Linked DNA regions of Oreochromis niloticus. Each later gene encodes a partner of the first gene's protein in a complex. Links are inferred from orthologs where the notes say so. Each region holds a gene or a part of one and is shown on either strand. Other genes may lie near its edges.

What was found.
Region 2: taf1a (region 1) and polr2l share a complex: the UniProt entries of both Homo sapiens proteins name them as parts of the pol I pre-initiation complex. The link is inferred for Oreochromis niloticus from reciprocal best matches to the Homo sapiens genes TAF1A and POLR2L.
Region 3: taf1a (region 1) and taf1b share a complex: the UniProt entries of both Homo sapiens proteins name them as parts of the transcription factor SL1/TIF-IB complex. The link is inferred for Oreochromis niloticus from reciprocal best matches to the Homo sapiens genes TAF1A and TAF1B.
Region 4: taf1a (region 1) and polr1b share a complex: the UniProt entries of both Homo sapiens proteins name them as parts of the pol I pre-initiation complex. The link is inferred for Oreochromis niloticus from reciprocal best matches to the Homo sapiens genes TAF1A and POLR1B.

The regions. Positions count from the first base shown.
Region 1 is NC_031980.2:14,112,089-14,120,353, reverse strand, and holds the start of taf1a (TATA box-binding protein-associated factor RNA polymerase I subunit A), read left to right. Parts: upstream 1-5,045; 5' UTR 5,046-5,269; exon of another isoform or gene 5,270-5,278; intron 5,279-8,265. Other genes in the region: mia3 (transport and Golgi organization protein 1 homolog), read right to left, coding at 1-7, 266-351, 692-759, 867-902, 1,009-1,171, 1,368-1,506, 1,604-1,694, 1,792-1,856 and 9 more. UniProt on the Homo sapiens protein: Component of the transcription factor SL1/TIF-IB complex, which is involved in the assembly of the PIC (pre-initiation complex) during RNA polymerase I-dependent transcription.
Region 2 is NC_031965.2:19,340,707-19,346,820, forward strand, and holds polr2l (DNA-directed RNA polymerases I, II, and III subunit RPABC5), read right to left. Parts: upstream 1,878-6,114; 5' UTR 1,726-1,877; intron 1,275-1,725; 5' UTR 1,265-1,274; coding exon 1,170-1,264; intron 871-1,169; coding exon 762-870; 3' UTR 648-761; downstream 1-647. Other genes in the region: cleavage and polyadenylation specificity factor subunit 7, read left to right, coding at 177-195. UniProt on the Homo sapiens protein: DNA-dependent RNA polymerase catalyzes the transcription of DNA into RNA using the four ribonucleoside triphosphates as substrates.
Region 3 is NC_031980.2:25,316,040-25,323,431, forward strand, and holds the start of taf1b (TATA box-binding protein-associated factor RNA polymerase I subunit B), read right to left. Parts: upstream 3,295-7,392; 5' UTR 3,123-3,294; coding exon 3,105-3,122; intron 2,379-3,104; coding exon 2,280-2,378; intron 2,020-2,279; coding exon 1,935-2,019; intron 1,865-1,934; coding exon 1,767-1,864; intron 1,700-1,766; coding exon 1,607-1,699; intron 1,212-1,606; coding exon 1,118-1,211; intron 1,014-1,117; coding exon 854-1,013; intron 771-853; coding exon 671-770; intron 595-670; coding exon 447-594; intron 343-446; coding exon 168-342; intron 91-167; coding exon 53-90; intron 1-52. Other genes in the region: adam17b (disintegrin and metalloproteinase domain-containing protein 17), read left to right, coding at 4,753-4,837, 5,588-5,720, 5,810-5,943, 6,193-6,281, 6,353-6,533, 7,101-7,231, 7,308-7,392. UniProt on the Homo sapiens protein: Component of RNA polymerase I core factor complex that acts as a GTF2B/TFIIB-like factor and plays a key role in multiple steps during transcription initiation such as pre-initiation complex (PIC) assembly and postpolymerase recruitment events in polymerase I (Pol I) transcription.
Region 4 is NC_031978.2:25,914,599-25,922,678, forward strand, and holds the start of polr1b (DNA-directed RNA polymerase I subunit RPA2), read left to right. Parts: upstream 1-5,025; coding exon 5,026-5,202; intron 5,203-5,580; coding exon 5,581-5,748; intron 5,749-5,828; coding exon 5,829-5,975; intron 5,976-6,057; coding exon 6,058-6,190; intron 6,191-6,268; coding exon 6,269-6,405; intron 6,406-6,488; coding exon 6,489-6,712; intron 6,713-6,804; coding exon 6,805-6,976; intron 6,977-8,080. UniProt on the Homo sapiens protein: Catalytic core component of RNA polymerase I (Pol I), a DNA-dependent RNA polymerase which synthesizes ribosomal RNA precursors using the four ribonucleoside triphosphates as substrates.

The DNA.
Region 1 (8,265 bases):
GAGTCACCTGTTACAATTGAACCGTCAATTTACCAAAACAAAAGAACTGCAGCTGACAAAACAACAAGTCATGCAATAAAGAGGTCCTGCAAGAAAAATCAAGCACATGAACAGGACAAATACACAATCACAACACATATGAGGCAAAACTGGAGGCAAAACTGGAGTCCCCCACCAAACAGAAAACAGTATCATCTTCAGTGGTTCTTCAGGATGACAGCTGAGCTGATGGAAATAAAATAGAGGGTGAGATGTGCCTGCTTACCTTGGCGAGGGCCTGCAGGCTGACCAGAGTTTGGTCTGAAGAGAGGAGCGCGGCGCTCATTGAGCTGAGAGGTGAGTACAGCCAATCTGTGAATAGGAAGAAAAACAGCTCAGATGCAGTTAAACTGGGCTGTGACTAACGGTAATTTTAATTATCTGATGAAAATGTAACAGAGCAAGTGGTGACGTCATTAAATAATTTCACAGTTTGTCCAAAAGAAACAAAACAATCAATAGCCTCCAAGCTATTCAGCCTGAAGTCACATTAAGCAGTAATAGGAACAGCTATGATGTGCGGTAACCACTGTTTAGTGGTTTTTTCAGGCTTTCGCAACTTCCTGTATAGAAACAGCCTCATTATGAGTAACAAACAACATTTCTGATATTCCACAACAACAAGGAAGCTTTAACAACTGCCAAAACTCACTTTTCACGAAGCTTCGATGATTCGAGCTTCTCTTGGTTTAGAGCTCGCTCTGCATTACGAGCATTCACCTGCAGGCAGCGCAAAGAAGCAGAGTAACGCTTTAGCTCAATATTAATCTTACACAGACTGAATAAATTATTTATAGAAACTGTAAATAAACGGTGTAGAAACATACCCAGTTTGAGTGAGTTTTGTTCTCCTGCTCTTTGATCTAAAGAAAGAAAATCACATTCAGCCGAGATTCAGATTGGAGTAATGTTTTTATTTTGTTGGCTAATTTGTAAACGTTAAGATAAAAAAACAAACACACAGTCTACCTGCTCTTTGTAGACTTCCTCAGTCTTCTTCATCTGGTCCTCCATCTCATTAATGCGCTGCCTTAAGATTTTAACCTGCTCCTCAGCTTCAACAGCTTTCCCTCCAACCTCCGACAGCAGATTCTCTTTGCTGCGCCGCTCCAGCTCCTCCTTCGTTAATTTCCTGTGTGCGCACAGAAACATAGTGACTCCCAGTCCTCCCACAAATCATGACTGATGAGAGGTTTCACTTACTCATCATCATCATCATTCATGGTGTAAAGACAGCAAGTAAAATTTACAACTACAAAAATACAGACGACTTTCAGACATTCAGGACAGGAAGTAACAATTTCTAATCTGCTGAAGACTTCACTTACTGCTGCAGAGCATTTTCCTTCTGCTGATACATTTCGACCATGATTTCGTTTTTCTGCTGGAGGATCTTGAACTGGTTTTCAATGTGGCTCTTCTCACTTTTCAGAGTTGAGATTGCATGTTCAAGCTCCTGGTGTTGCTCTGTTTTAAAATAAAACAAAAAGGAGTTTAGTGGGATGCAGATACCCATTTTCAACTGAATTACACAACTTCTTAATTAATCTAATTCAAAATGTACCTTCCATTGCCTTCCTGGACTTTTCTTCATTCAGTAGTTTTGTCATGAAGCGATCCCGCTCTTCTTCAACTACAGCAAGAGTGGTCTGAACCTGTAGAGAAAAATACAAGAAAATGCACTAACATTTTGAAACCGAACAATCCTCTATAAACTAAATATAAGCTTTACAACATCTGTTGATATCTCACCCTAGAAACATCCATCATCTGTTTGATTCTGTTCTTTATGGTCGTCTTCTTGTCTGTAAGAGACACTGAAAGAACAACAAAACACTATATTATTAAACAGTGGTTAATGAAACAACTTGTCGTATTTCATCCACACATTTACGATATCCCTTAATATTTTGATAAACTACAAACTTACCAGGTGCTACTTCACCATTGGCCAAAACTTTGGTGTCACCTTTTTGTAAATCACAAGCTTCCAGGTCAGACAGAAGTTCAGACAGCACCTGAAGTAGACATATTGTGCAAGAGTGAGACGATTTAATACAGATTTAATAAATAAATAAATAATAACAAATAAATAAATAATAACAAAAATCAGGAAGAGCTATGACAGTAGTTAGTGAAAAAAATGACCTCCACATTGTGATCTTTGAGCACCACAGAGTCCTCCAGTTCTTTCTGGGACTTCTGATAGACTTTAATCTTCTCATTAAGCTCTGTGTGTTTTTCCTCCCAGCTTTTAATGGTGGCCTTCAGCTGTTAGAAAAGACAGGGCATAAATTAAATCTGATGAAATATTCAGATTTATGACAAGAGAAAAAGAGAAATAAAAGAAGAGAAATATCCATATCTGTCTTACTGTTTTGTTCTCGCCCTTTAAGGCAGCAAACTCTTTCTCAAGACATTTTTGTTGAACGTTTCGGGCATCTTCGCGAATCTTGGCTTCATCCAGGAGAACAGTAGTCTATGGATGAAAGAAAACAGTTTATAAGATAAATTAAAGCTAAAAGGTCAAAGTAACACTACAGAGTTTGCAAAAAAAAAAAACAAATCCCAAAAGGATTTGTACCTTAGAGAGCGCTTCCTGCATTTTTTTCCTGTTAGCTTGTAGCTTCTCGTTTAACTTCTCTAATTTCTCAATCTGTTAAAATAAAAATAATAATAATGATAATAATTGCAGCATGAATCAGCGAAAAGAATGCAAATAACAACGAGCAGAAAGCAAAATTAAACACTTACTCTTGTTTCATTTTGGAGAGTGTTTGCCCGCTCTTCCTCCAGTAGCTGTGCGTATTTGTCCTTTTCCTCTGCCATCTGTTTATTCAATGTTTCAGCCTGTAAGACTTTACTCTGCAAACAGTAACGAAAAAAAATTAACGACAACCCTTCACCAAATAACTGAGTGTCAACAAAGATTTAACCCAGTTACGTAAGACTAAATACATATGAGAAAGACTCTTACTGCTTACCTCTAGCTCTTGCATCTTTTTCACTGCACAACTAACAGTTTCCTTTGACTGTTTTTGATTTTCTTTCAGTTGTTCAGTCTTTTACAAAAAGAAGAAAACATGAATCAGATGTGTTTTGTTTGTTTTTGTCCAGGAGAAACTCAGCAACATTTCTCTTTATGGGGCTCACCTGTTTCTGGAGTTCAGCCATTTTGGCAAGAGCTTCATCCTTTTCCTTTTTGTGCACCTGGATTTGCTCTCTGAGTGTTTTTTCATCCACTTTTCCAATAACACAAAGCACACAATCAATGAGGCCGTACACATATACATTTTGTCATGTTGTGCAAAAATTATAACTGAAAACTTACCGAGGTACTCTTTCTTCTTTATCTTTAAAAAATGAAAATTAAAAAAATCAATTTTGAATCTTACAGTGTATAATATCATCCAACAATGACCTAAACAGAAAAGATTTTATACTGTATATAACTCAATCCAATGGGAGTATAACCCAGGGGGATACAAAGCCTTATTAAATCAAAGCTCATACAAATAATATTGGCATTTTACTGGCGCCAAATAAACAGAGCAGCAATATCACAACACTTACTGCCAGCACAGTCCTCCAGAAGAAAAGGGTGAAGGTCACTACTCCAACCAAAGCAGTGATGACAACAGTTTGCCAAGGACAGCCAAACAAAGTTTCTCCTGGCTTCCACTCTTCAGGCAGCAATGAAATCATCTGAAGAGACAAAAAAACCCACAACCACAGCTTTAACTCCGGAGAATGAAATTAAACTGGAAACAGATGGTTAAAATAGCACTATGCAATTAAATTATATCGATTTCTAGTTACAAACACAGCTTTCAACAGTGGTGAAAAGAAGATTGAAAATTATTTTCATAGTGATGCTCTTATTTTGTCTTGTGTTATAACTTGATTGCACTTTTCCGTATCTCTAAAAATTCAAACAGCCTGCGGTAGATTTACTTCAGCTCTAGCCAAGATGATTATAAGAGATGTTTGTCAACAAGGAAGGAAGAGCTGAACAGTTAATCACAGAAAAAAACAATAGTGTCATGCTCTCCTATACAATCATTTTCTCATTTTGCCTATCGCAACATCACCTTTTCCTCTCAGTAAAAGCCTAAGTTCAGGCTATGGCATGAATACTTTGGTTTACAAAAATGTTTTTTTATTTAGCTCAAATACACTTAATTAAAAAGAGACAACAGAGTTACCATGTTTCAAAATGTATCAAAAATAATTATGACTATAATTCTGGCTGTAAAATAAATAAACAAAAAAGCCCAATGGAAAAAGAAACAATACAATATACAATAAAAACACTGCAGAAGCTCTGATTAAACATCAAATTAAATCTACCATTAGACTAAGACACTGTGCATACATTTACCAAACTATGACACTTCACTAAAGAGTCATCTGTAACTCAAATAAGCACTCATTACAACCAAGATTAGCAAGAGTAACAAGAAGAGCATCTCTGTCCCACAACGAATCTTAAGGCTGAAAGGCTACTGCAGCAGCAGAGGTGCCACTCTTGTAAGCTAGAACAGGAAATTAAGGATATGACTGACATGGGCTGACCAGGATTGGACAACAGAACACTGGAAAACATTGCCAAGCCCCCAAGTATTTATCTAATAAAGTGTCCGGTGAGTGTATGTGATAAAGGACACAGGATTGATATAAAAAAAACACAAAAAGATTCGTCTACACTCTCAGTTTAGTCACCAAAATAATTCTGTTGGTTATTTATTAACATAAAAAAATAACATGTTTTCTACATTGTTCTATACATACATTTTGAAGTGATGTATGAAGCATTTAATACATTACTTGATTAGGGAGCAATTCATACTATAAGCTTTTCTCTTTCACAAGCTAGGTGGGTTTCACTTTATAGTTAAACTAGCTTCATTTATGCCCAGTCATACCAAACCGAGCGTATTAGTCCAATCACAAAGAAACCTTTGAACTCCCCATGAGGCAACAGTAGCAAACATATACACGCTCTCACTCCGTGGCTCTAATAAAATACAGGGATTACAGCTGCCTTAATACTAATGGCAAATATTAAAAGCCTCTCTTCAATTTACTACTTTTCAATTCTAAATGTTCAATACAAATTTAACAAAGGCTGGGCTGTAAGAACAGTTAGATAGCAACGAAAAGGGCACAGGACAGTGAAAGGTCTTCAATCAAATATACAAGACCCGGTCGACTGCTGCTAATGCTAAAGGCAAGTTTGGTGAGTAGATTTAGGACCAGGAACCGTCCAAGTCATTATCCATCAGCCACCTGCTAATTAACACGTCATGGTTAAGGCCATGACAGCGTAAATAATAATATTCATATGTGTGTCCGTCTGGCTTTTTTTTTTTTTTTTTAATACTGTAATGAATACTTACATGTTGCAGTCCCTTCACAAAAACCACATATGTGTGCTCCGGTTCCATGACAGGCAGGGATAATGTCTCCCTCTCCATTCTCGTGTTTAAAAACAAGAACGGAACTAGCCAGATGCTAGTTTGACAGGTATCAGCTAGCTGCCTAGCACGTTAGCTATCCACAAAGTAACTGTATTGTTAGGCAAAGGCTCGGTATCCAGGAGCGTTAATGTCTCCCGCGTACGAAAGACAAATAAGCGGTCGTTAGACAAATGGACAACGTAAAATAGTAGAGATAGGAGTTGGTAACAACGACTTGCTAACGGTAATTACAGATCACCCGTCAAATCCCATTCACAGCTGTTATCGTGAAGCAACGGTCGTTAGCAGAGTTGGTGGTTCTGATTATGGATAACGACTGTAGCGACCAAAAAAGGCTACACTAACTCAACAACACATTATCTGCCTGTACATGCCACAATAAGGCCGTTAGCCACAGCAGCCAGCTCAGCACCGGCTGTGTTGAACTTCAGCCTATACCGCGACAGTCAACAAGGCAGGGGGAGGGCCGGAGGGGGCATTCAGGGAAAACTGGAAATTTGAGTTCTCACATAATGCACCACACTTCCAGAGCAAGACCGACGTCTGTTACATGTAGGGCGACCAGGTGTACCCACACGATTTTAATCCTCTGTCCCACATTTTGGCTGGCTCAACAAAAGTCTCTAAAGTCATGCAAGTCTCCCGAGTCTCCAGCTCCTCAAAAACTATATATGGGGAAAAGAGTTTATTCATGCAGAAAAATGTGGGGTAGTGGAATGCAACATTGCAATTTCTGGTATCTATTCAAAATTATATACAGTATAAAGTATACTATTATATAAAGTATATACAGACCCAGCTTTGCCTGTGTAAACACTTTTAAGAGCCGCATGTAATGATTTATGAGGTGAATGCATCATCAATATCTGATGCTTAATCTGAATCCGTTTTTATGACAACTAAATTATGTGATTTTTGCATTAATTGGTTAACAAATCACAAGCACCTTTGACTATTTTTTCCCACGTTTTTTCTTTTTTTTGAAGCGCTGGAATTTAAATGTGCCCTCTGGGCAACCACTTTATGTCAACCCCTGTTATTTTAAATGTGCTTAATAAATAAAAATGACTTGATAGTGAACCAAAAAGGGTTCTTATACTATACTTAAATTACTTAAATATTTTCATGTTCAGGATATATATTTTTTCAGTTCCAGTAAAATTTAACACTGAAGTAAGTGTTAAATTGAGTGACATGAGAACAAATTATGGCAGAACAGGAAGAAGGAAGTTGAGCGAAGTGTGGACAGGGCTGTGGGGATGTTTGAACAGACATGCTTACTGTTTGATGTAACTGAAGCGACATACTGATCTCAGACGAGATAAACTAAAGGATCAATCCTATCACACAAGTATTGATCAGATAATAGTACCAACGCTGGTATCTATATAATCAATATTTAGATCGATCCATCCCCTCCTATTTTCAGAGCAGCAAGACAAGTGTCTGCCCCAAATATTGCGACAATGCCCTACATTTTGACTGGCTCTACAAAAGTCCTCGCCAGTGATTCTCATATAGGGCAATCACAGGCCAATAAAACACATGTGAGGCAAAGATTTTGCTGGTGTAGTACAATGTGGGGTAAAGTACTAAAGCCTATTAATACATCTTTTCAGTTATACAAATGATGCATACTAACTTGACTGTGTTTTACTTGAAAGTAATTTGTCCACAAAACAGTGGATCATCTGCCTCCATTTCACCCTATTCCTTGCATTCTCCTCTGTCACACCAACCCTCTGATATCCTGCTGAGCATCTTGGTCACTTCCAATAAAATCTGAGCATCTTTAACTTTGTCATCTCCAGCTGAGGCTCCTATCTTTTTATTAGTGATGAGCATAAATGGAAACTAAAGTTTATAATTGGTCCTATGGAACAGTTTTCTGTACACGCTTCTAACAGCTGTCATTCCAGCCTTTCTGTCTGCTAATCATCTTTGGGTTTTAGCAGGGATGCATCCAAGTTCTTTTTGAGTTGTTTTGTTCTGACACAAATCCATTTTTGTAAATTAGAGTCATTTAAAATGTGGGACACTGTCTCGATATAAAAATGCTGTACAGTCTCACACTCCTGATGACACTAGACTCACAAGAAACATTTGGGTTTAAAAATTGATGGGCTGAACTATGAATGCTTCCCTGCTGAAAGTACTTTCATGCTTTCAGCTGTTCGCTTATTTCCCAAGAGGTTGCCACACAGGAGGGAACCACATGTTGATTTGTTACAGATACTACACCGGATGCCCTTCCCACTAGCTTGTGACCCCTGAGGCTGGCTTTGTGTCTCCTCCCAGTCTTGAACCAGTGATCTTATGAACCATTTGCTCTATGAATGCCTCCCTACTAAAACCCCAAAATTATTACCACAGAGATAAGAGGTGGAAATTTTAACAGTTACAGTGATGCAAACAGGAAATGCAAGACTGCACAAAGACTGCCACATAGGACCATAAACAAACTTCAATTTCTCTTTATGTCTATTCTATAGACATCGAGTTTAACTAAATTACAGTAAATCAAAGTTTATTTGTGATTGACCTGATCAATGCCAAACCTGTAACCTGCACAGTATGTGTGTATTCATGTTTTAAGTTAGATCAAAATCCCTCTCAGCATTAGCAACGCGTCCCACAGAGTCTTCGCAAACAAACCCCTTTCATCACATTTAGTTTGCTGGGATCTGGTTACCCTAGCAACATGAAATATGGTGCGGAACGATATCACAGAGGCCAGTACCTTTCT
Region 2 (6,114 bases), on another chromosome or scaffold:
AGCACAAATATGCATACTGCTGTGTGAAACGCCACAGGATGCATCCTAAAATGACAGAACTCAGTTAGGAAATGTATTTCTGAAAACATACAAACACTTACTTTTAAGTTCAGTATAGTGTAGATCTGATTTGTAAAATTTGTGGATTTCAAAATGTATTATTTTCCCATCCCTAGACTGAAGTCCTGTGACTGAAGCAGAGCAAAGACAGGCCTTTTTTTGGGGGGACAAAAGTAGAAGAATTCCAGATTAAACTACGGATATGCATCTTCTAAAGTCCAAGGTGTACTTTTTTCTTTTTTAAGTTCTCCAGGATCTGTAATTTTAGATAAAGACTGTAGAATCGTTGCTTCGTTCAAAGCTTGCATGCACAGAAGCGCCTCCTAATTTATGTAACTGTAACATTTATCACTTTTTGTATTAAATGTACAAAAAAAACAAATCCATAAACATAAATCCAAGTTGTTGTTTTATCTGCTTACTGGGGACCACAAAAATCATTTAAACTGCCTGTGTTTGGACTACTGTTAACACATTAAAATGTAAAACTACTGAAAGTCTCTCTACAAGATTTATCATGCTGCTTTGTTTTAATGCATAGAACAAGTGTGGGGACTAAGCTTTGCAACTAGACAAGACAGCAAAGGTATAAGCACATGTAACAATGCCATCAACAGCTTTATTTAGAAAAATGCATCACATTAATAACACAAACTCTCAAAACTTCAGCCTGCACAAAGTCCAAACAGTTCTTCTAGTTTTCATTTCTCCAATGGCGCATAATTCAGCAATTTCTCAATAAGATCCACATGAGAAAGAAGCATCCTCCTGCAGCAGTACCTCTTCAGTCCCAGGGCATCCAGGGCGTCACTTGAGAAGGAAGAAGGAAAAAGTAATGTCAGAGCTAATGTATTATATCCTGAATGAATAAGTACATGGACATTACTGAACACACTGAGGAAAATGGTCTAAATAGCCTCATGCAATTATGATTCACTTAATCCATCAACTCATTTTCAAGTTGACTTCAAACCACTTAACCTCTACAAACGAAAAAAATTCAATGTGCAGCGACTGCACTGCTACTAAGTTGTGTTGCCATAATACAACAGTTATTTACAATTTAAGAGGCAATGTCAGTGGAACAAAACAGAATGTGTTAGTCTTACCCCTCTGTGTACTCGGCTTGAAGAAGACCAAGGTATGCTTCCCATTTGTTACCAACAATCTTGCCACACGTGAAGCAGCGTACAGGGATGATCATGTTTACACACCTGTGAATAGAGACCTGGTTTTTAACTTACCCAATAAAATTACGTATCAAACACCTATGTGATGTTAACGACCCAATTTTGTTTTCATCGATCTACGAAAAACGGCGATAAGTTTAACTTGAAAGTATTAGTAGGTGCCCGGCTAATTCCGAGCTAGCTAGCGTCAATATTATGCTAATACTGTATCTTTGATGTGTAGCTAAGACAACTATAAATTATGCAAGGTGATAAACCCAAACAGTGTTTACCTGTGCGTTGTTTATTGTTATTTTTTGTATCTGTGCGTGTTTTTTCAGGAGCAGTTATCAAATTAATTGAACAAAACACCTAGCTAGCCATTTCAGCATGCGTAACCACGCGCTTAGCATAAATGTAGCTGCTTTAACATGTTGCGAATCGCAGTGTTGGTTGTTTACCACAAAAAGCAGAAGGTCACGTTTTATTTACTCACCGTTGCCACTACCGTTCGCTAAAGCACACAAGTTATGGTCTTCTGAGAGAAACAAACACCGGAGAAGTTGTAACTGCTAGCTTCGCTTTCTCCAGCCGCAACAACAAGAAGACTTCCTGTTAGAATCTTTCAAAATAAACGACTACTTCGGCCTCACTTTTTGTCATCAAGATCCGGAAAAAAAAAATCATCCAGACAAATTTCACGACACTTCTCGGAGAGATGTAGCATGGGTAAAGGTGACTATACGGTTAACTACATTTAGAATCATCTCTAACTTATAAATTTAAAAAAGCCTAAAGTGTATGGACTTTATATTTATATCTATGAACACGTGATGTGGTAAATATCTTGTGCAAATAAGAGAATTTACTTCATGTGTGGAAATGTGTTGTTTCCCTGCTGATGGTTATCCTTTGTTCATCTGCAACAGCGGAGTGAATTTAATTTTATGACGTTTAGAGGTAAAACGAAAAGCTTGATTAGGTGTTTCTTTTCATTATAACGCGTCTTTGTACGCATAAAATTAGACATGCATATCACTTTTCTAGTAAATTATCTTGTACACACACATTAATAAGAGAAACTTATGGGGATATTAGGGGAGAATTCAGTTTCTATGTACCCTTATAGCTTCCATATTACTAATAATATATGTAAATTGTTCATTGGCAAAATGATAGAAAAGCAGCAGCCAAGCTATGAAAATCTCACATATAGCATTGGCATCACATAAGTACAGCTCTAAAAATGACCATAAAGTTGACTCAGCAGACAACAAGCTGCCACCCTAACTATAGAGCAAACTGCAGATGCCTTAAAAACAGACACAATACTTCTCTGCGGTATAACTACATCCTATGTCACATTAAAGAAACATCCTTCTGGGAGGACGTGCTGAGCAAAGTAGACCTGACCACAATAATGGTTTCTGTGAGCCAGCATAGATATTGATTTTGGAGTAAAAATGAATTACATAACAATACACCCTGACCCCAACAATACACCCTAACTAATACTTTACATGAAATGTGCCTTAAATGGGGTAATAAAAGAGTGATTAAAGACGTTCCTGGACACCTGATGCAATCTGATACATTCATGGTGAACTATAAACTTTGTTGTCACAAATAACTGAATAAAATTGAAATGATAATAAAATTCCCAAATAATAAATTATAGTAGTAAATATCACAAATCACAGAATACAGAAAGTAAAATTAAGTCAACCAGAAGTTGATAGATATAGATATAGATATATGTGTGTGTGTGTGTGTATATATATATATATATATATATATATATATATATATATATATATATGAAAAAAAAAAAAAAAAAAACAAGAAAAAGGTTCAACTCTGCCAACATCAATAAACAATTTTTTTTTTAAATAGACATGTAAATATAAAGTTCAGATGAAACTGAGTATCATTTATAATCCATTTAAAGCTGAAGTTGCGATTAAAGACATACTCACTTGGGTTGGTTCACTGCCTTTAATAAAGTTGGGTTTCACTTTCTTTTTACACATTAAGAAGTTTGGGAGCTAAGGGGAGGGTGCATAAGGTAAATATGTTATAAATATATAAAAAATATATCATAACCATCAATACTATCATTACAGCCACCATACTATACCACAGCATACCATCACCCTCATTATCATCATATGTAACATCGCCATCATTTCCATCACTAACATCACACATTATGACAATGTTTATATAATTTAACTTGCTACCGCACGTGTGCTAAATGAGGAGTCCTATCTGAATTATTGCATTTATACGCTGTTGAGATTATGAAAATAGGAATTTTCTTCTTCTTCTTCTTTTTTTTTGGTACACTGTATTGTACAATGTAAGGTGAAGTTTGTTTCAGTGTTGGCGTAGGCCATCTATGTTTTGGACATGCTTGGGGTGCTAAGTGTAGTGATGAGTGCTGAGTGTTAGCACAATGTTAATGGCCAGTAATGTGTAAAATGTATACATATCCTTAAAGTTAAATATGTGTTAGAACTGTCTTATGCATCTACTTATGGAACGGGGGACAATCCCCCCCATGAGCTTTGCAATGTGAGTTGGAAATAATGTGTACAGCTGTACAAGTTAATGAGTGCAGGAACGAAAACCGAGACTGCTTTTTTCCCTTTTGATTAAACTATAGTTCTATCCAACTATAGAACAATAGTTCATGTACACCACACTTTCATTGTATAAGAGTATTCAGGATGCTCTCATTACTAATTCCTAAATGAGGTTGACAAGGTTTAGAAAACATAAGAGGGGCAGAGGGAGGACAGAAAAAACTATCATGTTTTGGCAGCAGGCTTTCAACCTGATACACAACACTAATGGCTGTTCAGCCTGCTACAGCTAAACATCTACTGTAAGATGTAAACAGATTGAAACAGCATGACTGCGGCTGCTGTGTAAGACACGAAAGGTTATTGATTTGTGATATAATTTGACAGTAAAATAAATCTGCTTATTCTACAATAATAAATAACTGCACTATTATACTCTGGTCCACAGTATACATATTTTACATCCAACGACCCTTCACGTGCCATTCCTCGACCCCTGCATACTTATGTGTTCTCTCTGAATTTTTATTGTGTTGTACTTGCTTGTGTTCGCCAGTTCGATGTCTCATACGCTCTATACTTATAGAGGAACTCAGTACCTTCAATTAGGCAATCAATGATTTAGCCAGAGTATTTTCAATACACCACAGTGCACAATCCCAGCTATTCTCTGCTCTTCTCTTCCAACTGTCTCATTTTAAAGTAAAGTAAAAACCTAGAACTCTGATAGCTGCTATTCATATTTCAAAGGTTCAACATTATGATTTCAGGCTTCACGTGTTTCTTTTAGCAAAGTGAACCAAGCTCATTTCTGGTGCAAGAATGTACAAATATTTAAACATTTTTGTCAATATTTGTTCAAATTAGATTAAACCAGACAAAGCAGCTGAATAAGCTACCTTTAAGAGTTCAGGTTTTTAGCTTGGCTTAAGATTTTTTTTTTGTGAGTTTTTTTTTATAATTATATAATTACACTTCAGATGCAGTATTGTAGCAACTTCATGCATATAATATGTGTAATTATGCTCCATATACAGCCTTGATCGAAAATCAAATGACTTGATTCACTACAAGTGAAAGCAGGGCAAAAAAAAAAAAAGAAAAAGTCCCCAATCTTTATCATGATAGTCTGTGAACCAATCAGCAGCGACCATCTAAGTCATCAACCAATAAATACCCTAACTTCAGATAATGATTTGGTTTTAATTTCTCCTTGCCAGTAGCAATACTCCGAGCAAGATGGCTCCCGCAGCAATAACGGCCCCACCAATGAGAAAGGGCTTCAGGTGTTCCAGAGAGTCTGTGCCGGAGGCTGCAGCTTCGTCACCTGCTGCTGCTGTCTCTGTTTCCGCTGCTCCATCCTGCGCAGGAGGGCGATGCTCCGGCTCAGGAGCTGCAGGGGCAGGGTCAGACTTGCGTGGGGCAGCCGGCTCCTTTTTCTCCACTTTAGGTGCTGCCTTTGGAGCTGAAGCCCCAGGCTTGCCTTTGGCTTCCATCGGCTCTGAGACAGAGGTGTGGTCTGGTCACAGGATACTTTATAAGGTCAGCTCTGTGCTGCTTCACTGAGGAAAAAAAAAAGACAGCAAACAGACATAGCCAGATTATCCCTCTAAATTAGGCTCAGACATCATGTCATATGCTCTGTTGAGTGTAAAGCCACTGGCATATGAAAGAGCACCTGATAATCATGGATTCACCTTACAGCAGTGAGCCAGTCGTGAGGCGGTAGGGCCTTAAATGTGACCTTGGAAATATGACATTGATAGGAATACTCCGGTGCTCATAGGGACTTGAAATTGTTTATTTTGATGACAGCTCCTGTGACACGATCTCCCACTGAAGGAAAAAGAAGCCACAGAAGCGTCCTATGTTAATGTTTTTCATGGGACAATCTTCTAGCTTTATAATGGAGGCAAGGGGGGGAGGAAAGCATTGCATCTGCAGAGCTGATGTCAGGCTTAATCTTTACTTCTTTGACCGTGAGAAGAGCCTATAGTGGAAATGCAACATGAAGATTTTATCTTTTTCCCCCTCCTTGTTCTCTATTCTGTAAAGCCTGCATGAGTCATTTGTGCTATAAATGTAGGACAAGATGGAGGAAAGAAATAAGGAGTACAGTCACTGCAACAGAGGAAATCAGGGAAAATGCTAATTAGAACAAACGAAGAGGAATAAATACAAGCCAAGACTAAAAGAACGCATTATTCAGCTTCAATATTACAAAATGCATGTTGGACACAGCTTAACAAAAAAAAGTCCCCTGTTATACAGGAAATATCTAATAGAGGGAATATAGTTTT
Region 3 (7,392 bases), about 11 Mb from region 1:
ATAGCTCCTCACATCTGTGCCATATTATTTTTTTAATACATAAAAATCTGACCTGAGTCCTTCGGTCGTCCAAGGTCATTGGACAGATGCCTGAAAGATAGAACCAATCACAGTCAGCACACCTGAAGCCCTGCCGGAGGTCGTCTGACGGCGTGGAAGATACGTACCACTCGGTCATGTCATCCAGGCAAAAGAACAGCTTCAGAGTGACGATGATGAGGGCAGCGGCTTGCAGGTCATACCGCGGCAGGGTGGGGTGATTGTGCGGGTCAAATGTGTGGAGCGTTTGATCCATCATACCGGTGTGCTCCAACAGCCTGCAGACCCAGGGGTGGAGCTCATCTGACAGGAAACAGGCGTATACAGGTACACTCTGTCAGTGTTTGTATGTAAAGATGGTCGCCTCCAGAGACCACTATCGGTCAGAACACTGGAGCAGTTGTTACCGGGCAGGTTGACGTCGGACAGGTATCTGAGGCTGAGCAGCGCCGGGTGCAGCAGGGTCTGCCGACTGACTGGAGGAAAAGCAGGAAGCTGCAGGAACTGAATGATAGTCTCGGCCTCCTTATGAACGGCGTGATGAGACGGGACTGTCTGCAGAAACCAGGTGAGAGCTAAGTCATGCATCATTACCGGGGCCAGGTAATAAACAAGATGGCGGCTTTCTCACCTCGACTATGAAGATGAGGGAGTCCTTCCCTGTGACTTTCATCTCCTCGGGAAGCTGCTCATAGGCGTTCAAGTACGGGATGTGACCCTCATTCACAAGCCTGCAAAACATCACGTTCATTCAGCTGAAAAACTCTGGTTAAAAACCCTCAGCCACACAAGTGCAGGTGGGTGCAAGCGTTACCTGAGCAGGTCGCTGAGCGTCAGCGCCTCACGGCTCCATACCAGAGCCAGGTAGATCAGCGCCAGTGTCTTCTTCATGCTCAGCAGACTCTGGCTCCGCTTCTTCCTGGCCGACAGGTAGGTGAGGGTGTCCGAGGAGCCGGACCAAAAACCGGAGTTCTCTGAGGTTAAACGAGCAGTTCAGCTAATGCAAGAAACCTCATCTGGTCATGTGAAACTTTTACAGGAGCTTCCTGTCAGACTGAAAACGCTTCCAGCACCGTACCTGTGTTTGAGCCCGCTGTGCTTGCTGGGTTCGACTCGCCGTCTGTGCAGCTGATTGCCTCGCTGGCGCTCTCCGAGTCCGAACCCACGGCTCTCTGAGGATTTAGATTTAATTATTAAATCTCAAAAAATGAAATGAGTCAATAAAATGAAATCAATAAACTAAAAAATAAAATAAAAAAATAAATAAAACTTAGTAGATGAAGTAAAACATAAAATTAAAAAAAATGATTAAATATACAAAAAGAATACAAATAAAAAAATTGTGAAATAAGAAAATAAAGAAAACTAATCAAAATTAAGCATTAAAAATACAAATCAAATCAAATAAAAATACAAAAAAGAAAACAAAATGGATTTAAAAACAAACAAACAAACAAACAAACAAACAAACAAACAAAAAAACATAAGGTGAAACTGCCAGAAAAAAAATAATGCAGACGAGCAGTTTCCATGCACCACCCGAACCTCCGCTACCATAAAAACTCACCACTCTGAACTTGCAGCTCCTCACAGGGTCGTGGGTATAGGCCTGGCGACTTTTCTGCAGGTAACACCTCCACAGAGGACACAGCACGTCGTCCTAAAACAGTGACACGAGTCAGGCCTCTAATTGGATGCTTTGTGGTTAACAGAGAGAGGAGGCGGACCTTAAATTGAGGACTGACTCCGAGCGCGAGCAGAGCATCGGCCTGGTTCTTCAGGATGAACTGGAAACCCTCGCAGACCATCCACACGTGACCACGCTCTAAGACAAACAGACATGTTAAACAGGATATGACATCATCGATTTATGCTGCTGCTGATCGGACACTGACCGGCCTGCTTCTTGCGGGGTCCTCTGATGGTTGACACCCTGCTGGACAACTTTAAGAAGGACAGGTCCACCACCTCCCGGGTCCTCTAAGGACACAGTCACATGTTAGGCAGCAGAATAAGGAGGTCCTCTACACGTGGGCTTAACCACCAACACCATATTGTTAAAAGAAGCATCTTAAAGCATGTTTATGGAGTTCTGAATTCCCTATATCCCCATAACAACTTCACACTCATCCACCTGTGTAGTAAAAAGAGTGTCTCTGAAAGGGCACTGAAGAGACCCTGACACCTCAACCTCCAGCTACAGACCACTGTACAGGTCATAATGATGAAGATGTTTTTACCTCGATCACGTTGTGGCAGGACCTGCAGTAGAAGCGACCCTCGTCCGAAATGCCCCAGTCCACCGCAGAACACTGGGCACAGGGCACCGTGTACTCGGCCTGCACGCGCGCACGCACGCACACACACACACACACACACACACGTGGTAATGTTCAGGTGTTTCTGTAAATATTTTAATGAACAAATTAATCTTTCAGTTTAAAAAAAAAAAAAAAAAAGTACTTTATGTATGTAATGTTCACATTTAAATGCCTTTAAAAACACATTTATGTGAAACTGCACAGCAGCGCCCACGGGAAAGAACAACAATTAAACCTCCAGATCCCAAACACTTCACCCAGAAAAGCCTAGACGTCATTAACAACGATTGCTAACACAATCCTTCTGTGTTTATCGGGAATCATTTTTTGTGTTTTCATTTGTTTACTTTAGGGCTGCTTTGAGACTTTGAGTACTTCGACACACAATGTAGTTTAAATAAAAATTTAAATCAAAACTCATTAAGCGTTCACAGTTATTGGTACTGATAGACGGATGAGTTTATTTCAAACATTATAAATAAACTGTCGCTGATACTATGCTAACGGATTTTAATTAAAGAGAACAGTTATTAAATGTGTGCCGATTAACTATTCAGCGGCTGCACAGTCACACAAACCCGTTAAATGTCTGAAGTTAAAGTTGGAGACTGAATGTCGTGCCAATCATCTTAAAACACTAATATTTCTAATGGAGTTTGATAAGACCGAACTAGCTGACAACTGCGTTCACCGTAGGTTGCGTAAAATGAAACGAACTGTTTATGAGAGCACCGCGGGACTCACCGTATGTTCGTCATCCATCCCGAGTGGAAAACTGCAGCTTTAACACGAAACTTTGGATTTTATCGGCACTTCGTTACAACCGCACATGCCTCTGGTCGGAGATACTGGGATTCTTCTTCTTCGCGCTTGATTTCTGGGAGACTGAACGCCTCTCTGCTGCAACCACAGGCCAGATTACATACTTCAACTGCTTCTACTCAGCTGTAAAAATAAAATAAAATAAAATAAAATAAAATAAATTAAATACGTTTTATTTAAATATTGTTATAAGTAAAAATAAAAATAATACATGTGTTAAATGTGTTGGTCAGAGGGCCGGGTGGCGCCAGTGTCCGGCGCCCCAGGGTGGCTGTGGCTACAATGTAGCTTGCCATCACCAGTGTGTGACAATGTGTGTGTGAATGGGTGGATGACTGGATGTGTAAAGCGCTTTGGGGTCCTTAGGGACTAGTAAAGCGCTATACAAATACAGGCCATTTACCATTTACCATTAAAAATAACAAATGATAAATGTGACTTTTATACTTATTTTTAAATCTCCTAGTATAAATATACTGTGTATGAATTTTCTGGATGTTTCTCAGTCACTTTTAATCAGGAGAGTTTTTCTTCCTCCAGATGATGATGATGATGATGAAGAGTTCCTGATGTGCTCTGTGTTTCTAAGCGGATTTGATGAGGTCAGAGGTTATAAATAGATGCCAGATGTCTCTCTGATTCTCTTATATAAGCTGACCCCCCCCCCACACACACATACACACAGAATAATAGTTTGATTGATTTTTATTATTGATCTAACTGAGGCTGATCAGCTGTCATCAATCACTGTCACGGGAATGGTTTCGCGACTTTTTGTTGGACTCGCGCAAAGTTTACAACAAAACAAACACAAACGCCTGACGGATTTTCAAAATAACACGTGCGGGCAAACACTTTGTGAAACATTTCTAAAACAACTGAAGGTTTGATTCTTCCATTGCTATTAAAGAGGGCTATACAACACAGACAACCCACTAAACAAAATTAAGATTAAGATTAAGATGATTATTTATTGATTTGAAACATATTTGTATGCATACATTACTATTTGTATTTGAAATTGTGTAATTTTATTTGTTATTTATTTCTCTAGTTAATTTCATTAAATGAATTAAATGTTGTATTATATTTATTACTTTAAAATGAACTTTTTTACTTACGTTTTAGTTTTAAAGTTTCGATGACAGCACTCCACCTCCAGTCTAAAGGATTACCATCATTAAAATTTATTGGATTATTGATTATTAGCTATCGTGCGTTTGTTTTCGACAGTATTGATTAATAATCAAATGTACCCTTAAAGTCCCTTGCTTTTACTGTGAAAGCCCTCGGGCCTCCTTCCGCCCTCCTTCCTCGGCTCTCGGTAGCTTCACTCGGCCGCTCTCGGGCTTCCTGGTTCGGCGGAGTGGGGGCGTTTGTTCTGCCCGTTTCCTCTGCCCGTTTCCAAACACAACAAAGACTCGAGTGGGGTGAGATTTAGTGAGGTCGGTCCAGAGATGAGCTTTAAAGCTGACGTTTGTTTCTGAGCTGCGGTCGGAGTTTAGTCTGATGCTAGAACGCTGAAGCGAGCGGCGGAAGGTCTTCATTTAGTCCGTCCCGACGGTTCAACATGCGGCTGATTTTCGCCTTTTTAGCCGCTTTCACCGCTTTAACGGAGGCCGCCGTCCCCCCGGACAAGACGGAGCAGGACTTCAGTGAGTGTTTAAAACTGAATTTAATCGTAAATGTGTCCTTTGTGAGGACCGCCGGTCCGCTGGAAAAGTTCATGTTTGAGGCAGAAGGTATGGAGGACCGCTCATGCCAAACAAAAGTTTAATTCGCATAAAAATCACAGGTATTTAAATAAATGGCTGAGTCCAGGAGCATTCAACTTGATCATGATAGGAGTTTATTGAATTAAAATAAAGTCAAATGAGATTAAAAGTTAACATTTTGACCAGAGAGATATAACTATAGTTGAAAAAAAAAATCACAATACACTAACGTGGAACAACTGTGGGTTTAGAATTTATCTTAAAAATAAAAAAGTCATAAATAAGAAGAGAAGTGTAGGGAGTGAATTTTGACTTTTAGGAAAGAAAAAGCAAAACCTAAGAATAATACTGTGCCATAACGATGTTGGCATGACATCACATGTCACTGGTTTGTAATCATGATGTCATCATTTGACAGGAAATGAGGCGATGAAAAGTGATGAGTCCTGAAGTTTAATATTTTAACTTCTTTTATTGTTACAAACTTTTTCTTTTCATAAAAGGAAAAAGTGGATGAAAAACATACATTTATGTTAAATATAAAGTCAGCAGCATTTTATTTGTGTTAATTATTAACTTATGTGTTGATTTTGGTCACGTTTTTGAGGCACGTGTTGGCGTGTGGTGGAGGAGCTGAGGTATTTCACAGGATTTTCAATGCTAACGGGCAGGTTTGCGTTCTCTCTGTAGTGTCTCTCAGAGCGATGCTGGATGACTTTGATGTGCTGCCTCTCTCCAGCCTGCAGACGCACTCCGTCCGCCGCCGTGACGTCCAGTCTCAGACGCACATGGAGAAGCTGGTCAGCTTCAGCGCCCTGCAAAGGTAAGATAGCGGCATCCGTCCGTGCAGCTCGGTGCCATTTTAAAATCTTTGATTTGTGAAATCTGAACATCTCCTCCTCGTGTCTACAGGCATTTCAGACTCTACCTGAGGACCAACGACGAGCTCTTCACCAGCGACTTCAGAGCCGTGGTCATCAGCGAGGATGGCCAAGAGCGGACCTACCCGGTCAACAGGCACAACTACTTCACCGGACACGTCATCGGTAAACTGTTTAAGCAGAGCCTTTGTGGAGGTCTTTGGGGGTAGAATTCTACTAATTGGTTTCTTGTAAAGCTTGCAGAGTAATTTAAAAAAATCCCCAGATGTCCTTGAGAAGGTTCGCGAGGCCTTGTCAGGCTTCTTGTAGATGTTGTCAGGCTGCTACTTCAAACACACGTGTAGAATGCGTGTGGTGACCTTTGACAGGATTAATATGGAGTAACGGCTCCTTTAATGTGTTTTTGTGTTGTAGGGGAGGAGAACTCCCGTGTTCAGGCGCACATCGAAGATGACGAGTTCTCCGCTCACATCCTGACTGATGAGGCCGAGTACAATGTTGAGGTAAACACCTGAGACTTGGAGTAAGCGCCTGCTGAGTGATCGGTCCCTAAACCTTCCTCTGCTCTCTTCAGCCTCTTTGGAGGTTCACGTCGGCGCCCTCTGACGGTCGCCTCATAATCTATCGCTCGGAAGACATCCGCAACATCAGCCGCCTGCAGCAGCCTTCGGTCTGCGGCTACGTGACCTCTGACCCCAGTGACCTGCTCCCTGACAGCGTGAGAGCAGCTGTGGTGGAGGAAAAGGAGGAAGAAGGTGAGAAGCGAGGTCCTCGCCTGAACTTGGCACTGTGACTGCTTCCTGTTTGAGGGTAAAGCTCACACTGACCCAAAGCGACCACGCCCAGGTGACACAGGAACTGCGTTAACCACAGAGACAGCGAGAACTTCCTGTCACTGCGCAGCACAAACGTGAAAGTCCAGTGAAACACCTTCATCTGAACTGAGTACAGAGCGAGCGACACAAACAGGAAGTCAGTCAGAAAAAAGACTTTTAATGTGAAAAAAATAACAAAGTAAAAGCTGTTTAAACAAAAGAAACAAAAGAGAGCTTGCCATCCCAACAGGTGAAATCTTATTCCTGAAAAGTTTGAGCTTTAAATGGGGAAAAAAACCAAATCTGAAAAAGTGCTCTTAAGGTGGGGGAAAAAAACGATTTAAAAAAATCAGGTTTGGGTCAGAGAACAGAGATATTACAGTGAAAACATATATTTTCATATTTGACACACTCAAACGCTCATAAATAATAACAAATAAAAAAGAGCTTTCAGTGTCAAATGTATAAATAACATTGTCTGACGTGTTTCGGTGGTTTCTTGTTTAGAGTCGGCGTTCAGAGTGAAGCGTCACGTGCACGACCACAAGAAGAACACGTGTCCTCTGCTGCTGGTGGCCGACCATCGCTTTTACAAACACATGGGCCGTGAGGAGGAGAGCACAACCCTCAACTACCTGGTCGGTACCACCTGTACATCCATCACCCCCGCCATCCACTGACACTTAACCCCACCCCCTCCCAACTGTGTTTCAGATTGAGCTGATCGACCGTGTCGACGACATCTACAGAAACACGTCGTGGGGCGAGGGGTTCAGCGGGTACGGCGTCCAGATCCAGC
Region 4 (8,080 bases), on another chromosome or scaffold:
CTCAGAGTACAGACAGTGGACTCTGGACTTTGTGGACTGGTGCCAGCAGAACCACCTGCTGATCAATGCCGGGAAAACCAAGGAGTTGGTGGTGGATTTCCAGAGACGCAGACCCACCACATTGACACCGATGAACATCCAGGGAGAGGACATTGAGATAGTGGACTCTTATAGGTACCTGGGTGTTCACCTGAATAATAAACTAGACTGGAGCCACAACACTGATGCTCTTTACAGGAAGGGTCAGAGCAGACTCTACCTGCTGAGGCGGCTGAGGTCATTTGGAGTCCAGGGAGCACTTTTAAAGACCTTCTGTGACTCTGTGGTGGCATCTGTCATTTTTTACAGTGTTGTATGTTGGAGCAGCAGTTTATCGGCAGCTGAGAGGAAGAGGTTGGATAAACTCATCAGGAAGGCCAGCTCTGTTCTGGGATGCGCCCTGGACCCAGTGCAGGTGGTGGGAGACAGAAGGACTCTGGCCAAAATAACATCTCTGATGGACAGTCTCCCACCCCATGCATGGAAATGTTGCTGAACTGCAGAGCTCCTTTAGTGACAGACTGCTGCATCCTCGATGCATGAAGGAGCGTTTCCGCAGGTCCTTCCTCCCTGCAGCTGTCAGATTGTACAATCAAAACTGCTCGCAACAAACATTGAGGTTTAAATCAGCGCTGTAACTTGCACTATTTTATCAACCGATTCACACTATAACCAGGGTTTGCCTCTTATCTGTATTTAATTTTATTTAATTTAATAACGGTACAGTACTCTGTTTTTGGTAACCATTGTCCTTGATGTAAATATGTAAAAATTGTGTACGTTTCTGTTCTGTGTCTTGTGTACTGTTTGTTTGTATATGTGTCTTTCTTGCTGCTGTTACACCTAAATTTCCCCTTGTGGAACAATTAAAGGATTATTCTATTCTATTTGTTTTATATGAAAGTTTTTGCATTCATACAAACCCTCCTGTCATTATGCAGACTCAGCACAGAGCAGTTTTATAAACAACTCCTCAGCTCAAGGAGACTATTGTTGTTTTTCTTTACTAAATATTGTAGTGTAAAATGATTGCTGCAACCAAAGTGTAATAAGTGGAGTTGTGGATTATGTGTCACGATAACCAGTACTGAATGATTTTACAAACTGGAGCTGACAAAGGTCAGGAAGACAAAGAATTGACTTCACCAAAGTGATTTGGAGGGGAAAATGTTTTTCAGTTTGATCTGTGGACGTGTCCTACTAACATTTAGCCTTGAAAAGTAAAATGGTTGAACTTGGTGAGACTTTGAATCATATTTTCAATCCACTTTTATTACATTACAATATGTCATTTTCTTGTATTCTTCTATTATTGTAGCGTGTTTACCTTACAATATGAAGCGCCTTGAGACATTGGTTGTTACGGTGTGGCGCTATATAAAAAAATTTGAATTGAATGCGTAATGTGAAACATTGTGATGTAATCTTTACCTTTAGCCTTTTTATTTATGTAATAATAATAATAATAATAATGTTATTTTAAATGAGCAGGTGCCGCGAGGATAGAGCGTCCCTCTCTGATGACGTCACGTGTGGACACCTTAAAGCCTGCATAAACGAGAGCACCTCTCGCCGGGTGCGGTGGCGCGCGCCTGTAATCCAAGCTACCGGGAGGCTGAGGCTGGCGGATCGTTTGAGCTCAGGAGCTCTGAGCTGCAGCGGACTATGCCGATCGGGTGTCCGCACTAAGTTCGGCATCGATATGGTGCTCCTGGGGGAGCTCGGGACCACCAGGTCGCCTAAGGAGGGGTGCACCGGCCCAGGTCGGAAACGAAGCAGGTCAAAGCCCCCGTGCCGCTCAGTAGTGGGATCGCGCCTGTGAATAGACGCTGTAGTGCAGCCTGAGTAATACAGCGAGACCCAGTCTTTTTACACTATTTCTCCTCTCCACAGAAATATACACCCAGCACACAACCTCATACATCATGTTTTAACAGCTTATAACACCATCAACACAGTTTTTCTCTCCGTCCTTTCCATTAAAAAACACTGGTTTGTTGGTCCCACAGCGCCTCCACCTGGAGAAGAGTGGCAATTACATCACTCATTGCAACTTCACAGAAACTATTCACCTATACGTTTTTTTCTTCTTTCTACAAGCTTAAGTTGGCTAAAAGAAATGGATGGATGTAGATGGATTGTTACACATCTGTCCAAACTAACAGAATTGGATTTTGTTTTACTTCTTTGAAATAATTTTTTTTAAAGAAGGAAAAATCAAGAGACTATAAAAACTAAGTCACATTTACTTAAACTGCTTGTCTTGACTTCATAATAAATTTTACTGCAGTGCACATCACATGTACAAACATTTCGACTTTATTCATCCTACCTAAGGACTAAATACTTCCACAGACTGATAACAGCCATAAAGACTGAAATTCTGCCATGTCTTTGTCTGGATTTTACTTTTAGCCCTCAAATTTGTCTCTTGTGTAATTACCAGAATCTCAAATGAACAACAACTGATGCCCACTGTCATTACTGGACTGTAGTCTACTGCCTCCAATCATCCAAGAAACGACATAAAATAATATTAACTGTATCTTTTTTGCTGAGGATATTGTAAAGGTTGGCTGAGAACACATTAAATTCACTTCCTTTTCACTTTACAGCTGTGGGTCAGTGCTGGATATTTAGAGTGCTGATGTGTTTGGCCACAACTGAAGAAAAACTCAGACTAACAAACAACATCAAACTAAAGGGAAAATAAATCAAAACAGGGAAAATCCACATTAACAATTAAAAAGGTGACTGATGAGACAACTCTGCACAGACATACTCCCCCGATATTACATCCACCTTGGCCTGCTGGCCACCAGTGTCTTGAAAGACAGTAGGTTCTAAAGCTCTAGCACACAGAGCCTGTAATTCATTACTTAACCCATTTAATCCCAAATTTTCCCTTGTAAAATAAGTGCATGCATTTTAGTCCTTAGACTTCCCCTACACACAATATGTTTACAGTTTTTTTTTAATGTAATGGGGGTTAAAACGGCAACAATTGTTGTCGGTGGGATTAAATGGGTTGACTAAGATGTAGCAGTGCTTTATGTGCTATCAAACAGAAGTCTGTTAAAAGTGAGGAAACATTAGCCAAATAGAATGAATATGGCACATTCCTCTGGGAACATGACTACAAATGCAGATCAGAAGCTGGGGCCATTCTGGGTTCAAACTTTTAGGGCGGCTCAGCTCCCAATCATAATGTCTTGCATGCAGTGCCTGGTAATTAATATTAAAGGAATATGCTGTTTGCAAATGTTATTTAAGTTTTAATATTTGCAGACTTCAATTCAGTATAATAAACATCACAATGTTACATTGAAAAGCAGCCTAATTAGTTGGATGACCTGTTATAGTGTCTAAAAATAATTTGGAGTGAATAATCATAGATTTTAATATAATCCACCCGTTTTAGAGTGGAGACTTTAGTCATCAAACCCAAGGCAAAGGCTCAGTCGTTAAAGAAGTTTTAAAGAACCGTTTATTGCAAAGCAGATAAGATGAGAAACATGGACAACATTATTTCAGTCTGTTAATCACATAGAGGCAGTCCACCAAATCACCAAGCACTTAAAGTAGCATCATTCAGTACAGACACTGGATATTCAAACTGCCACTCCCTGTGCACGAAGCAAACTGGTAATAGAGTTGTTTTATATGAAAGTTTTTGCATTCATACAAACCCTCCTGTCATTATGCAGACTCAGCACAGAGCAGTTTTATTAACAACTCCTCAGCTCAAGGAGACTATTGTTGTTTTTCTTTACTAAATGTTGTAGTGTAAAATGATTGCTGCAACCAAAGTGTAATAAGTGGAGTTGTGGATTATGTGTCAAGATAACCAGTACAGATTGATTTTACAAACTGGAGCTGACAAAGGTCAGGAAGACAAAGAATTGTCTTCACGAAAGTGATTTGGAGGGGAAAATGTTTTTCAGTTTGATCTGTGGACGTGTCCTACTAACATTTAGCCTTGAAAAGTAAAATGGTTGAACTTGGTGAGACTTTGAATCATATTTTCAATCCACTTTTATTACATTACAATATGTCATTTTCTTGTATTCTTCTATTATTGTAGCGTGTTTACCTTACAATATGAAGCGCCTTGAGACATTGGTTGTTACAGTGTGGCGCTATATAAAAAAAATTGAATTGAATTTGTAATGTGAAACATTATGATTTAATCTTTACCTTTAGCCTTTTTATTTATGGAATAATAATAATGTTATTTTAAATGAGCAGGTGCCGCGAGGATAGAGCGTCCCTCTCTGATGACGTCACGTGTAGACACCTTAAAGCCTGCATAAACGAGAGCACCTCTCGCCGGGTGCGGTGGCGCGCGCCTGTAATCCAAGCTACCGGGAGGCTGAGGCTGGCGGATCGTTTGAGCTCAGGAGCTCTGAGCTGCAGCGGACTATGCCGATCGGGTGTCCGCACTAAGTTCGGCATCGATATGGTGCTCCTGGGGGAGCTCGGGACCACCAGGTCGCCTAAGGAGGGGTGCACCGGCCCAGGTCGGAAACGAAGCAGGTCAAAGCCCCCGTGCCGCTCAGTAGTGGGATCGCGCCTGTGAATAGACGCTGTAGTGCAGCCTGAGTAATACAGCGGGACCCAGTCTTTTTACACTATTTCTCCTCTCCTCATAAATATACACCCAGCACACAACCTCATACATCATGTTTTCTATAGCTTATAACACCATCAACACAGTTTCTCTGTCCTCTCTTTCCATTGAAAACCACCGCTGTTTGTTGGTCCCACAACGCCTCCACCTGGAAGAGGGTCGCAATCACCACCACTCGCTTCACTTGAGCTAAACGAATTTTTATGCATAACTACTCCCAGAAGATGGCGCTAAGCTAGCAGTGAGCGAGTCTACTTACACTCAAAAAACGTAAGCGAAGAAGAAAACGCTTCTCTTCCTGTGTAGGGCATGTGCTTCCTGTGTCAACCATGCACATGTGGTAAACAAGCGTAAGCATGGATTTTTCAAGTAAGTGGAGTGATCTTCCTAAAGGTCCGAGTCTGAAAAATTTGACAGATGGAAGCTTTGGCCACATGAAGGACACCCAGCATGCTGCCATTCAGGATCTGACCAAAGCTCACATCGAGTCGTTTGACCAGGCGGTCATAGACGGACTCAACCGCGTTGTGCAGGTCAGCAAAAGTTTCTTTAAAGTTTTCAACAATGTGATGAATCACTTCATTAAGACCAGCGATTAACCCCAACTAGTTAAAACTGCGATTAGTTACGTACACTGTGTGACTCGGAGTTGTGTAAGCTTGTCTTGAACACGCCGTGCAGTCATATGCAGTGAGTTACTGTAGGTAGGTAGGTAGGTAGGTTAGTGAAAGCCACCATAACAACGATGAAATGAGTGAGTGAAGAATTTGGTTTCCTGCTGGGCGACTAGCTGCTGATATCAGCTCCAGCAGTATTTTCTCAGCTCAACCTGCTGTGAACATCCCTCTTGCAGTTGCTTCCCATAATCTTTGCCTTTCTTACGTTTCTCACTTTTCTGTCACCTTTCCCAGGCCATCCCCCCCTTAGAGTTCATGTTCAAAAATGAACGGATCAGCCTTGGTTTCGTTGAAGCTGCCATCCAAAACCCAGTGGTTGCCAAAGGGAACATCTGCAAGGAAATGAAGGTGTTCCCAGCAGAGTGCCGGGGAAGAAGATGCTCGTACAAAGGGAAAATAGTGGTAAGCCTGAGTCGTGTTTATATTCCCAGAGCAACATTAAAATAATCCATATTGACTGGGTGAGTGTTGCCTCACTTCAGGCAGACGTCAGCTGGTCGATCAACGGAGTTCCCAAAGGCATCATCAAGCAGTCTCTGGGTCATGTGCCCATCATGGTGAAGTCCAAGCTGTGTAACCTGCATGGCATGTCCCCCAAAGAGCTCGTAGAGCATCACGAAGAAGCCGAGGTAGGATATGGCAGTTGTACTTTCAAACTGAGCCAGGATGGGTTTAAATATTGTCCTATAATACCAGCCTCAACTTTGACAGGAAATGGGAGGTTATTTCATTGTGAATGGAATTGAGAAGGTTATCCGCATGCTGATAATGCCAAGGAGGAACTATCCTATCGCCATGTCAAGACCCAAGTGGAAGAACAGGGGTCAGGGTTACACTCAGTACGGTAAGTATTACTTCTAAAGAAAACAGTGCAGCAATGACTCCACGCCTGCATGTTTTCACTGGCTTTTTCTCCTCACAGGTATTTCTATGCGTTGCGTGAGGGAGGAGCACACAGCCATCAACATGAACCTGCATTATCTGGAAAACGGGACTGTGATGCTGAACTTCATCTACCAGAAAGAGCTCTTCTTCCTCCCACTAGGCTTTGCGTTAAAGGTGAACAAGCTTTCATTACAGAACAGATTATGATAAAAATGCTTTAGGCTCATTGTGTGCTCATTTGCTGTCATGTTCCTCAGGCTCTGGTGGACTTCACAGACTTCCAGATCTACCAGGAGCTGATCAAAGGCCGCGAGGACAATTCTTTCTACAAGACCTGTGTTTCTGAGATGCTGCGCATCGTCACGGAGGAGAACTGCACCACCCGCAGCAAGGTGCTCAATTACCTCGGAGAGCGCTTCAGGGTTAAGATGAACCTCCCTGAGTGGTACACAAATGAACAGTGTGCCAACTTCTTGTTAAAGTAAGCTCTGGGGATGGATACAGTTGACACTATTCTGCTTTTTTTTGGTGGTATGTTTATTTAAAAAAAGGGTCTTACTCTGTTTTGATCAGTGAGTGTATCTGCATCCACCTGAAGTCAGATGTGGAGAAGTTCTACCTGCTGTGTCTGATGACAAGGAAGCTCTTCACTTTTGCCAAGCAGGAGTGCATGGAAGAAAACCCCGACAGCATCGTGTGCCAGGAAGTGCTCACTCCTGGTCAGCTCTACCTCATGTTTCTGAAGGCAAGAATCTTCAATATTTTTCGTAGTTTTCTTTTGTCTTTGTCCTTTCTCTTTTGCTGAGCAGGAGGACTGTAGTAGCATTTCAGCTGCTCCTCTTAGGCAGATCATTTGCCTCCATCTCACCCGATCGCTAACATCTTTCACAGCAGCCCTCTGCATGTCCTCCTTCACTACATTCATGTTTCTTTTCTGTGGACTACTTCTTGTCCTTTTACCTGACTGCTCCATATCCACAGTCAGTGTTGGGGAGTAACGGAATACATGCACAGTGGTCCCTCGCTGTAATGCGATTCACCTATCACGGCCTCGCTGTTTCGATGATTTTTTTGGTGCAATTTTCCATGTGTGTGTGTTTTTTTTTTTTGTTTTTTTGTTTTTTTTTTTTCCAGCACATTGTGTTCTGCATCCTGATTGGCTGTAGACCATTGTCAATCAATTTCGTGCCGTGTCTCCTGTTTAGTACAGAATGCGTTCAGCTTGTTAAATTTAGATAAATCTTCGATCGCTAGCAGTGTGACTCTGAAGTGCTGCACTGTATGTTTGTAAGTTTTCTCCCCAACAAACACAACAATGTCGACGAGACGTTTTGCACCATTAAAGGCAACCGCGGGTGATTTGGTTTCATTCTATAATACTGGACTTATTTTTCTACGAAGGTTTGAACTTTGAAAATGTTTAAACAACAGTGAAAAGTGTGAAAATGTTCATGCCTGTCTGAGAAAAGTGTATAAACTGTGTAGTGAGTGGTTTTACAGCCTTAAAACATCTATTATAATTGTAAAAAAATAAAGTTGGCTACTTCGCGGATTTCACCTATCGCGGGTTATTTTTGGAACATAACTCCCGTAGTAAACGAGGGACCACTGTACCGGCATTACGCATTTAAAATACAAAATATGAGTAACTGTATTCCGTTACAGTTACCGTTTAAAAAGGTGGTATTCAGAATACATTTACTTTGTTGAAATAAATGGATTACACGGCGGTCTTTTCCTGATTCATATGTTAGGCTATGCCCTCTTTTGGTAATTCCACGGCGGTGGAAAATACATTTTGGGGCATGTATTCTGTAATCTGCAGTGGAATACATTTTAAAAGTAACCT